Linked DNA regions of Neurospora crassa OR74A. The protein of the gene in region 2 interacts with the protein of the main gene of each other region in a pairwise test. Links are inferred from orthologs where the notes say so. Each region holds a gene or a part of one and is shown on either strand. Other genes may lie near its edges.

The links. The genes of interacting proteins can lie anywhere in the genome.
Region 1: the proteins of NCU02984 (region 2) and NCU08678 interact in binary tests that used the Saccharomyces cerevisiae proteins (3 or more experiments, as listed by UniProt). The link is inferred for Neurospora crassa OR74A from reciprocal best matches to the Saccharomyces cerevisiae genes TMA22 and TMA20.

Annotation. Positions count from the first base shown.
Region 1 is NC_026504.1:4,135,745-4,141,012, reverse strand, and holds NCU08678 (translation machinery-associated protein 20), read left to right. Parts: upstream 1-2,497; 5' UTR 2,498-2,765; coding exon 2,766-2,779; intron 2,780-2,910; coding exon 2,911-3,550; 3' UTR 3,551-4,145; downstream 4,146-5,268. Other genes in the region: NCU08676 (hypothetical protein), read right to left, coding at 104-166; NCU08677 (hypothetical protein), read left to right, coding at 1,804-1,914, 2,003-2,140; NCU08679 (hypothetical protein), read right to left, coding at 5,198-5,268. UniProt on the Saccharomyces cerevisiae protein: Involved in translation.
Region 2 is NC_026501.1:8,504,579-8,510,229, forward strand, and holds NCU02984 (translation machinery-associated protein 22), read left to right. Parts: upstream 1-2,221; 5' UTR 2,222-2,555; coding exon 2,556-2,595; intron 2,596-2,690; coding exon 2,691-2,710; intron 2,711-2,818; coding exon 2,819-3,124; intron 3,125-3,270; coding exon 3,271-3,468; 3' UTR 3,469-3,886; downstream 3,887-5,651. Other genes in the region: NCU02988 (hypothetical protein), read right to left, coding at 1-544; NCU02983 (hypothetical protein), read right to left, coding at 3,887-4,911, 4,972-5,182.

The sequences.
Region 1 (5,268 bases), on a different chromosome or scaffold from region 2:
CAATTATGTTCCTCAGTGACATGGTATTAGAAAAGACGAGTGCCGAAATAGTAACAATTGTCCCAGCAGCGGAAAAGAAGAAGCGCGGGAGAGATAGACGTACTGTTAGGAGCCCGAGGGACACAGTCCCTACAAACTTGAGGACGGAAACGCCTCTCGTAGTCATAATGGCGACAGCGAAACCGATGATGCGCGGGGCTGCTTTGGGAGGAAAGTCAATGTGAGATGGAGATGGTTGGTTTACGGGGTGTCGAGTCAAGAGATGTCAAAGGCAAAATCCGAGTCCAGCTTCCTCAGCTTGGAAAGTGAAGTGGGGGATCACATTAGGTGCTACGCTATGTACACTATCGTCCGCACAGAGGTCCCGCAGCATGCGATTGCGGGCAGTCAGTCCCACCGTGACCGTCATGGCCGCACGGCAACACCCAGCTTTCATCACAGGTGTCAGCCAGTCCCGTTCTCCCGGCCACACGCGGGCTGCCACCTGACGACAGGTCACCTCGATCAAGATCAATGCTGTTCAGTTTACCACATCTTTGTTCACCTTCGGAACTCTTTTCCCGTGTGGCTTGACACTCGAGTCCTTTCAACTTGACTGTTTGGAAACTTCCGGCCGTTAAGGTGGCAGAAGCCGAAAAGCAGCATGGACCACAACGAAGCAGCAGTTCCCCATCGTGTTGCGTCATTGTGAAGCTTCAGCTCCCCCATATTCGATCGACATGGCATGCTAGGCCCTAACCCTGACTGCATGTTGAAACATCCGGCCATCAGACGGAACAAAAGAGAAGAACTCGACAACATTTACCCTTGAATGACTCGAGATAATCGACCTCTTCTCTCACGAATAACTTTGGGAGAAAATAAAGAGGAACCATCTAGGTCTTCACTTTAAGCCGGCTGTCTTGGACAAGCCATCAAGTGTTGAAGATCATGCGCTGTCATGTGAACTGATGTTGTGTACCTCGCACCCCTCGGCGGCACTTTTGCCAGATGGTTTACCCAGTACAATCGGCCCTCGTTTATAAGTACTTCTTCTGACCATAACTATCACATACGACCATAGATGGTAGAAAACTCGGGATCCCGTCCGCTCTCCCATAGATAAGCTACCAATCGCCTGACTAGTAGTTGGGTCGGTGACGACCAGCGAATCCCAGGTGTTGTATGTCTTTTTTCCCATTCTCGTAGATATCTTTTTGCTTTCGCTGCTGTAGCACATTGATTTCTTGCACCAATGTGCACCGGCATATGTTTGAAGCGCCCGGGGGGGGAGACAGCATGGGTTATTGACAGTGGGCTCGAGAAAAAGACCCTTGTCCACTGAGACGCCGAGCTTGTTCTCCTGACCTTGACCTACCAGTACGCAAATTCAGTTACGAATCCGATCGATAATGTGTCGAAGGATACTACTAGTGTAGGTTTTCGGGTTGACGCGTGTTGCTGGAACCAAATTCAACGAGAGTCTGTGAGCGCAGGACGGAGCTGAGTTCACAGTTTGTTCTGATCAGACACACCAACTATATGTAAGCCTCACAGCTTCACACCACAGCCCATTTTGTCCCCGTGACCAAGGTGGCTTAGCGATAAGTTCAGGTTGCTACGTCATCACCTTGGCTTCCAGCACACTGAGGGGAAGTTCAAGTGTCGGGTCTCTATATAAGGAACCACAACAAAAACAACTAACATCAACATCTCACGTTATGCCCAAGACACTTGCACACTAAGAAAATTTGAAATAATACAAGACAATATTACTTCAACACAAGAACTTGATCAACTTTGACACTACGCATATCCGACAAAATGCCTCTCGTTGTTCCCGGCGTTACCACCAACGACCCCACGGTCCAGAAGACGGAGGAGTGGATGAACAAGTTGTGCGGCAAGACGCTCGCTGACCACACTTCGGAGACTGTAAGAACATCCCCTGTTGAGAATGGCAAGACAGAGATGGTGTCCAAGCATGGAAGCTGACCCTCTTCCTTTTCCCTTCTGCCTACAGACCTTCTGCAAGTCCGATCTCCCAAAGCAAACCCGCATCATCGAGCCGGGTTCGATGGTCACGAAAGACTTTAACCCTGACCGTCTCAACGTACATGTCGGCGATGATGGGAAGGTCAGCCACGTTGTCCACGGTTAAGGGGGAACAAAGAGCGGTGATGGAATGGCTATACCAGGCTTGAGGATATCATGGCATGACGTGGAGTTGCGAAGCGAGCGAGTTAATGAGTTATGGAGATACCAGCATGACGCTGTGTTTAACGAATGCGATGAATTCATCTATAGTACCATCCTGCCATAACTCATTGTGAGTACCTTGACGGCTGACGATAGAGGCCGTTGCCCCGGAGACCCTTTGTATCCATGTCCTTATCGTCGTCGACCGTCCCCTCTATCGGCTGCGCTATGACGACACCCCCTGGTCGCCGGCTGCTTTGGCGCGGCTGTTGACTGCTGCACAGATCGCAGCAGGACGGTCTTGGCAGATCGAGGTCGGGTCCCCACCTTCGACTTCTTCCCCTCCCCCGCCATGAATCGCCTTGGCCGTCGCGAGCGTCGCCTATGTATCGCCAGCTTCATTGATTCCAGCGAGGAGCACTTTGTTTTCATTGTTCACCTCACTTAGCAACACACACATCCCAGCTTGACGGTCCCTACATCAAGACTCGCCAAAACGACGAGCACGAACTCCACATATACATATCTGATATACTATACAACCACATATAATTTTCCAAGGTCGCAAAGTCGCAAATACCGCCACAATGTTCAAGAAGGAGTATGCCATCCACCACTCTGAACATACCTTCACCTGCCCTCCTTTGCCATATTCCCTTACCAACGTCACTCTACTGCCCGCCCGCCGTTACACCACCTCTCCAACATCCGCTAACTCTTCTCTCGTAACAGCATCACCCCCTCGCCCAAACAAAAGCTCAAATCCTCGATCCAGCGCAACTTGCGCCAGTCGCTGCTGACCACCTACCCGCTCCTGACCCCTCACATCGACGACATCATCCCCAAGAAGGCCTCGCTCGAGCAGATCAAGCTTCCCGACCGCGTGTCGCTGTACGTCATTGATGGAACCACCCCGCTCTTCTTCCAGGCCGACACGCCCTCGCAACAAAACACCATTGTGCCCCACCTCAAGCTCGTCCACCGCTTCCCGCAATGCTTCCCCACCATCAGGATAGATCGCGGCGCCATCCGCTTCGTTTTGAGTGGCGCCACCCTGATGGCCCCCGGCCTGACGAGCAAGGGCGGCCGCCTGCCGCAGCCGCATGAGAGGCCGCCGAGGGAGAAGAGCGCTGCCGAGGCCGAGAACGACGAGATCGAGGTGCCCAATGAGGGCGCTGATGAGGAAGGACACTGGAGTCGTGAGCTGGAGAAGGGCGAACCTGTTGTCGTCCTGGCTGAGGGCAAGGAGGAGGCTTGCGCCGTTGGAGTGCTGGTTGCGGGGACCAAGGAGATCAAGGAGAAGGGCAAGGGCCCGGTGATCGAGGAGGCGCATTTCCTTGGTGACGGTCTCTGGAGGATGGCGCTGGATTAAATAATACATGGAGGATGTTTGCGAAGGAAAACAGAAAAAAGTGTCGAATGTGTGGAGGAAGGGGGTTTCCCACCACCTACAAAGCGTTTTTGGAGCCGGGCATAAGAAGCAGCATGGTTTTGAGTTAAACAGTGGACATATGATCAGGTTAAGGGTTTATCTTTTCTCCCTGGTTTATGTGTTTTCCGCTCCGTTTCCTTTCTGATCTGTTTTGCTGTTCGTGTGTTAAGTGGATTTCAAGGCCACGGTGGTGGTGTTTGCTACACTTCGGGGAGCTGATCAATCATCAACAATCGATACCGTTACTGAGGTCAGGAAAGAGCAAGCGCTTTGTCTTGACTTGACTAAAGCACCTCGGCTGTATACCAGTTTTTCTTTGTCTTGTGTTTCTTAGCAGTCCCCCGATGTTCCCACCTTATCCTCCCGAGTTTTGTAATCCTTAACTTGTCTCCCTCTTATTGAAATTATCTCCATAGCATTGCATGGAGGATGTCAGTTCCAGTCTCACGATTTTAAGCGCACTACATGCTTACTTTTTAGTTTTTATCTCGACGGAACGACAACCCCCAGCGATGACAGCACGTTAAACTCCAACAACAACAACAACGGCCTTGGTCTTGGAAAAATGTCAGCCAGCGAATCGATAGACACTACGCCCGCCATCAACCCACGAGCGACATTCAGTTTTTCAACCTCTTGCTTATCAATATTCCGAAGGCATAGTGCCCCAACTCGTCCGAACCTGGTAATGGACTCATGACTGTTCCAGCGCGGGAGAGGCTATGCGTCACCACCTATTTACCTTCTCTTCCGACTCGGCATCATCGATAACTAACTTCACTGGAGGTAACCTCCCTGACTTTATGGTCAACCAGATATGCGGATGGAAAGGACGAATCGAGTCACTTGCCCTTACCTCCTGATCAATGGAAGGCGATCAGTATATCTGACATATAGGAGTACTTGGATTAGCGATCTCTCGATTAAAGCATGACTTCAAAACACGAGCCGCAACACCAGAAACGGTACGCCACACCATACAATACAAGGTTGTCAGTTGCTCCCGCATCGTGTTATCCCAATTTCTCTCGTCAGGTTTTCTTCTTCTTCTTCTATTCTTTTTTTCACATTCCTCATTTAAATCAATTTTTCTTCTCCAATTTTTTTTTCCCCCTCAATCAGCGGATGAGATATCTCTTAGGGCCATTCGAATAAACATTCTGGAGCCTACGTCGAAGAGCTTCGACTAGGTGTGGGCCAGATGGACGGATAGGTGTACATGCATGTTCACAGCGGGGAGAGGGAGGTGGATTCTCGTTTGAAAGATCACGGTCATATTCACGTTTCACAATAGGTTCAGTTTTGGGGACTTTGCGTTTTGTTTTTAGTCGGATCTCGTGTATTGATCCTAACATATGGGCGTTGTGGTGGTGACTTCATTGCAGAAAAGTACCGGAGCGTTGCGTGAACGATAATCGCAGACCATCACCACCTCTCTTCCAATTTCCTCCCTTCCACGCTGTGTCTTGGCTTGCTTGCTTGCTTGCTTCGTTGAGCTTCAGAGTCCATCTCTGCCAGAAGCCTTCTCTGCCCCTCCTCCTCCTTTCTGCGTCATCCCATTTGCCTCTTCCTGCTCGCAACATTCCTTCATCTTTTCTCCTTCTTCTTCTTCGCATCTTTACTTTCATGCTTCTCTTTGCGAGCCTTCTCCTTCTCGG
Region 2 (5,651 bases):
CTCTCGATGACCTCCGTAGACTCCTCCTCGAACTCATGTGGCGGCCAATACCATTTGCTTGCAGCATCTCCTTGCGCTGCGGTTCCTCATCCGAAATGTCATAAAGGTCGTCAAATTCCGTCACATCAGTCATGGCGCTTGATCGTTTATTATTCCATGCTCCCGAAGAAGGGTTGGAAGATGAAGTCTCTGAACTTGTGTCGTCGGCATCCGTGTCCGGCCCGCGGTAGCTCGAAATGCACGACGGTGTTGCCGGCAGGATCGGGGCGGCAAGGAAATGGAGGCCCCGTGGCGTAGGGAAATGGTCACTCAAGGGAGAAAAAGGGGCAAGCCACTGCTCGATCTTTTGGTTGACTGGCCAGTTGCTGCTGCTGCTGTTGTTGTTCTGGATGTTGAAGTGTCTCCTTTGCTCCTGCTGCGGTGTCTCGGTATCGGTCTGTTCAGGTTCCTCCATTATAGGATTAAGAGTCCGGGCCATCCTCCGCCTGCCCTGCGGGGAGGGTGGCCGGTATGTAGTGCTGGGCAAAATCAGAAGGTCCGACATGATGTTGGTGTCGTGGTAATATGGGGTCGCTCTGATATTGATTAAAAAGTCTGGAAATAGAGCTGACCGGGAAAATGGAATGACGCCGGCGTCGATGCGAATGCAACAGTAAGACGAAGAGTATGGAAATGGGGGGTTAAACGATGGACCGGCTTCGGTCAACGAAGCTCTATTCCTGTATTGGCGCAGAAAGGTATAAGAAGAGAATGGAGATCTAAACAGGACTGCTCAACGCAGCCGGTCTGGGCCACGCGATATTATAAAAGACAAAAAGATGGATGGATGGTCAGGTGCGTGATGGCGACGGCAGGGTCCACTTGGACTGTCTGTCCGCTGATTCCCACCACAGCGGCTAGCACGCTCTCTAGCACCATATGAAAGCCGGATTCCCGCTGATATTGCCCCATGTCCTCCCATATTGCGCCGCCGTTGTCGCCTGTTGACGTGACTCTGGCGGCCGGGCCCTGGCAGTCGGCGAGACTTGGCTTCGCTCTTCCCAGTGTCTCACAGGACGAGCTTGGGGTTGGGCAGCACCAAGAATTCGAGATAGCCGGTTGACGAGGGTGGGAGAAAACTGTGCGACCGAATCAGGTTGCGCAGAAGGTCGACCAAGAAGAATCCGGCGAACCAAGCGTGCCATGACAAGACAAGGCGCGCGCCAATGGGGCCTGTTCATCGACAGCGTTGCAGAGAATACGACCAATGACATGGTAGGGAGCGACGCCGGCACCCAGCTGGGCGCTTAAAATATCGAGCCATCCTCCATGATTGGGTTTCTCTCCTATCCTCCACCAGATTCTGCTAGTGCAGACTCCAAACGGGTACACTCTCCAACCTCTAGGATTCCCAAACAGGTCAGCATGAATGATTGCATTGAAGATGGGGAACCGCAGACGGTGAAGGGTTGCAGACACCGCAAAATCGTAAAGCAACGAAAGCCACGCTAGGTAACACGGCCCCTTGCATTCGTGATCTACAAACCTAGAGATCGACGTAACCCTGGATCCCGTTGATGGTGCAGCCGAGGATCACTGAGAGGAACTGAGGCGGTGTCGTGAAAAGCTCGAATTGTTGGCCTGGGAGGAAAAAAAAAAAGAAAAAAAAGTAAATCTCGATCGACAGATATTACCCCTTCCCATCAATCGAATGGGAGCTTCGGGAGATCACTCCACCATGATGTTGAATCGGCGCATTCGGGATACAGTAGAGAGGTCATACTTTGATATTTACCTAGTTTGATCTGCTGGTCGAGTAGTGTAGGTGATGACTTGGTGATGAGAACGCTGGCGCCCCAAGAAACTCCACACTTGGGGTTCATAGTCTCTTCACCTGTGATTTGACAAATCGTTCACTTTCGACGTGTCCGGACCGCGCATCCGACCATATGCTAGGTGGCATCCGTATCGGCAGCCAACTCCGTGTCCGATGCGGTGCGGTGTAGGAGGCTGGAAGCCGGCGAAGGAAATGTCAGTTCATGGGAAAGTGGAAGTGATGCGCACCCGTCTGTGGCAGTGGCAGCGGCGGTAATAGGAAAGATTGCGGCTGCAGTCGGGCTCGGCGGCTATTTCAAAGACGCACAGACCTTCCCCGGACTTTGAAGAGCTTGGCGCTGTCAGGTATGGAGCACAATATCAAACCCGCAAGTGGTCTGTGCCTGTTCTCCAACTGGCCCACGTTGTCGTCACGGCAAGGGCCCAGGCACCTCAGTGCCTTTCGAATGTGCCCCGCCATGCCCGAGACGAAAGAGAACTAAGCCCCGCAACTATCAATCGCGAACGCCCCCAGCAGCGATAAGGAGGGGCAAGTGCAACAACAACAGAAGCTATCCCGTCCATGATCCGCTTTCGTCGCATGCCTATCCGCTTCCTGGAACGAAACATCACTTTTTTGCGGCGCAACTAGATCTACAAACATCCATTACCAGATATCAGAGAACAACGACAGAGTTGTAGATTCTATACTTTCGACTCGTACCTCACCTATAGCGCCTATTTCCTCCACAGATCCAGCCATGACCGCACTCACAGGACGTCCTGTTGTCTATTGCGGTGGTAAGTAGTCACATGCAATGCTTGCGCTCTCTTCCAAATCGAACCGCTGCCCTATTATCGAACCCTGCGCTGACCATTCCCTCTTTGAATTCCAGTATGCTCCCTGCCGCCCGAGGTATGATACTATTCCCCTTTACCGTCCATCCGTCCCTCGAACCCCCCGACCCGTAGCAAAGACCGACAACTACATACTCACCAACCCATCACCGTCCCCGAATTTTAGTACTGCGAATACGGTGGAACCGTCAAAAAGTGCCAGCAATGGCTTGAGAAGAACCAACCAACCATGTACTCAAGGATATGGTCGCCTGAGGTGCTCGAGGCGGAGATGGCATCGCTGTCAGTCGAGGCGCAGGAGCGCGCCATGAAGGACGCGAAGAAGAAGGCAGCCAAGGCCGAGGCGGCGGAGCAGAAGCAGGCCGACAAGCGCGCCAACAGCGTAGTGACCATCAAGCGCATTGAGCGCAACAAGAGGAAATACGTCACTTCGGTGTCGGGCTTGGAGGCGTTTGGGTTGGAGTTAAAGAAGGTACGGTTATACTTTTGCCCGCAAGCCAAGCTTACATGCTGGCTAGCTAGCTAGCTCGCCTACCTACGGGCTGCTAGCTATACATGTATCATGGTGGTGATGCTGGAAGAGCGATCGCTAACTTAATCCTGTTTAACCTGCAATAGGTTGCCAAGGACTTTGGCAAGAAGTTCGCTACCGGCTCTTCGGTAACCAAGGTACCCAGCGGCGGCGAGGAGATTGTCGTCCAGGGCGATGTCAGCGGCGAGATTGAGGAGTTCATCCTCGAAAAGTACAAGGAGGTTCCCGAAGACAACATAGAACTCGTGGAAGACAAGAAGAAGAAGAAGGGCGAAGGAAACTAGTTGTTCCGACTTGACTTTGAATTCTAAAAGACTGCGGAGGCGCGCCTAAAGCAGGTGGGAGTTAATGATTAAGTTTGGTTGATATCACAAGGCTATTCGGATGGTATTGGCTATTCCGCTTGAGATCGAGGGGGAAAAGGCTTTTGACGCTGTAAGTAGCGAAAGACAAAAGCGATAAATGATAACATTACTTGGAGTCGCCATGTCCCAACTGTTCCCTGAAACCTGCCAGACCTAATAACGCCGAACTCTGTGAAGCCGACACCTGGCGGCGGTCGTAACATCTATACAATCCAACGCCTAACAATAACAATGCCAATCCCACAGTGCACAACCTGGATGGACATCCTCCAAGTCCATACCCCAGCAATGAAAAAACTGATGACACTCGATAATTCAAACAAAAGTTCAAACCCGCTCATCCCCTCTTTCGCAACACCCTCCCCGACACAGCCGGCGCCGCCGTATTAGCGACCACCTTCTCTGCCGCTTCCTTCGTCCCACCACCCGCCGCCTTCTTCGTCGCGGCCATACCCTTTTTGATCGTGCTGATGACACCTCTCTTCGCACTAGCCGCCGTTCCAGATGCCATGCCCGTCGCCGTCGCCGGTCGCTGTCTCCGCGCCGCCGCCGATGACGTACTGCTAGCCTCACTAGACACGCTGGCGCCACTAATTCTCCGCGATGTCCGTGTGGTAGCAGAAGCCGCAGATGTGGTTGCCGCTCTAGCTCTGGATTTTGCTGCGCTCGCTTGCGTTGCTTCCGTTGTTGTTGAGTGCTTCTGGGGGCTGTTCGCTCGCGATCGCGCCTTTTCGACCATGTTGCTGATGAGAGTAGATGCACTCGTGCCGGCTGTGGGTTTGGTTGGGGAAATTGGGCGTGCGCCGATACCGGTCGGATAGTGTTGTTTCGTAGGTGATGGGGTGCGCTCCCCTCGTGGTGCTAGGCGCGAGTTGGAGGATGTGGGCGAGAGGACTTGGTTGGAGTGGTTGCGCAAGATGTCGGCTGCTGGGCCGAGACGTTGTCGTTTCTCCGTGTTCATGGGTTCGATTTCGTAATTTTCTTTGTCGCGACCGGAAACTTCATGGCTAGGGTTGGATGATGTTGATACTGACGGCGTCCATTTCCCCTGGGAAGAAGAAAAGGGGACTAACCTTGTCGTCTTGATCGGGCTGGGCCGTATCGGAGAGGTAAGTCTAGAAGCAATCGCTGGTCGCTGGAAGATGGGGCGTGATGATGTCGCATCTTTCGGTGGTACCGGGGGGCCGTTAGATGTAGTCGTGGTCTTTTGTTGCTGTTCGGTAGAGTATTTTTGTATGAGATCGCCCATCTTCACTTTGCGAAGGGACATGGGAATGCGGTTGACGCGAATTTCGATGCGGGTTCGAAGACTTTGCGCATGGATGTCGTAGTTGGCCCGCAGCTTGCGAGCGCGTTCGGTGACTACACATATGTTAGTCGGCCACGCGCATCGTCACTGGCTTGTTAGGGGTATAAACTCACGCTCGAGTTGCAAGTTGTCAATCAGCGCTTGTTTTTGCGCCGCCGTAATTCCTGTTCGCCTCTTCTTCTTTGCGGGACTTTCGCTGCCATGTGGTCGTCCGTTTTCCATTGTACTTTTGTCAAGCGACGGCACCGCGAGGCCAGTGTTGTTCTTGTCGTCAGGAACATCGGCCTCGTCCGACCTGCGTTTCGCGCCGGTGGTTGGAGACATGGTCGCCGTAGATCGAATGATTGTAACTCTGTCAGCTATGACTTTGGGCTTTCGAGGAGATTGGCGAGAAATCGTTAGCGGAAGAAAGTGTCTGTATGTTTCAATCGGCGTATTCTTGATGGATGAGCGAGTCGAAGTGTGTTGCAGGTTGAATTGAATGGTACGCTGTGCTGTGAGTGGTTGACAATTCCTGGAGTAAACAAACCAAAGCACTGACCACTCAAGACTCGCTAGACACACGGGGGGCGTCGTACTGCAGCAGCTCCAGGTCACTGACATAACGAACTCAGCGGTACGTACAACTCCACCTGATAGCGTAACGGCAGCTACGCGGGCAGCTAGGCTGAACCGCCTTACGCAGGAGCTCCCCAACCGCTGTCACTGAACATCATCTTTCCATCAGAACACCAACCATCTTTCCCACTAATCCAACCTTTCCTATACCAACCACAAGCAACGCTTCGATTTC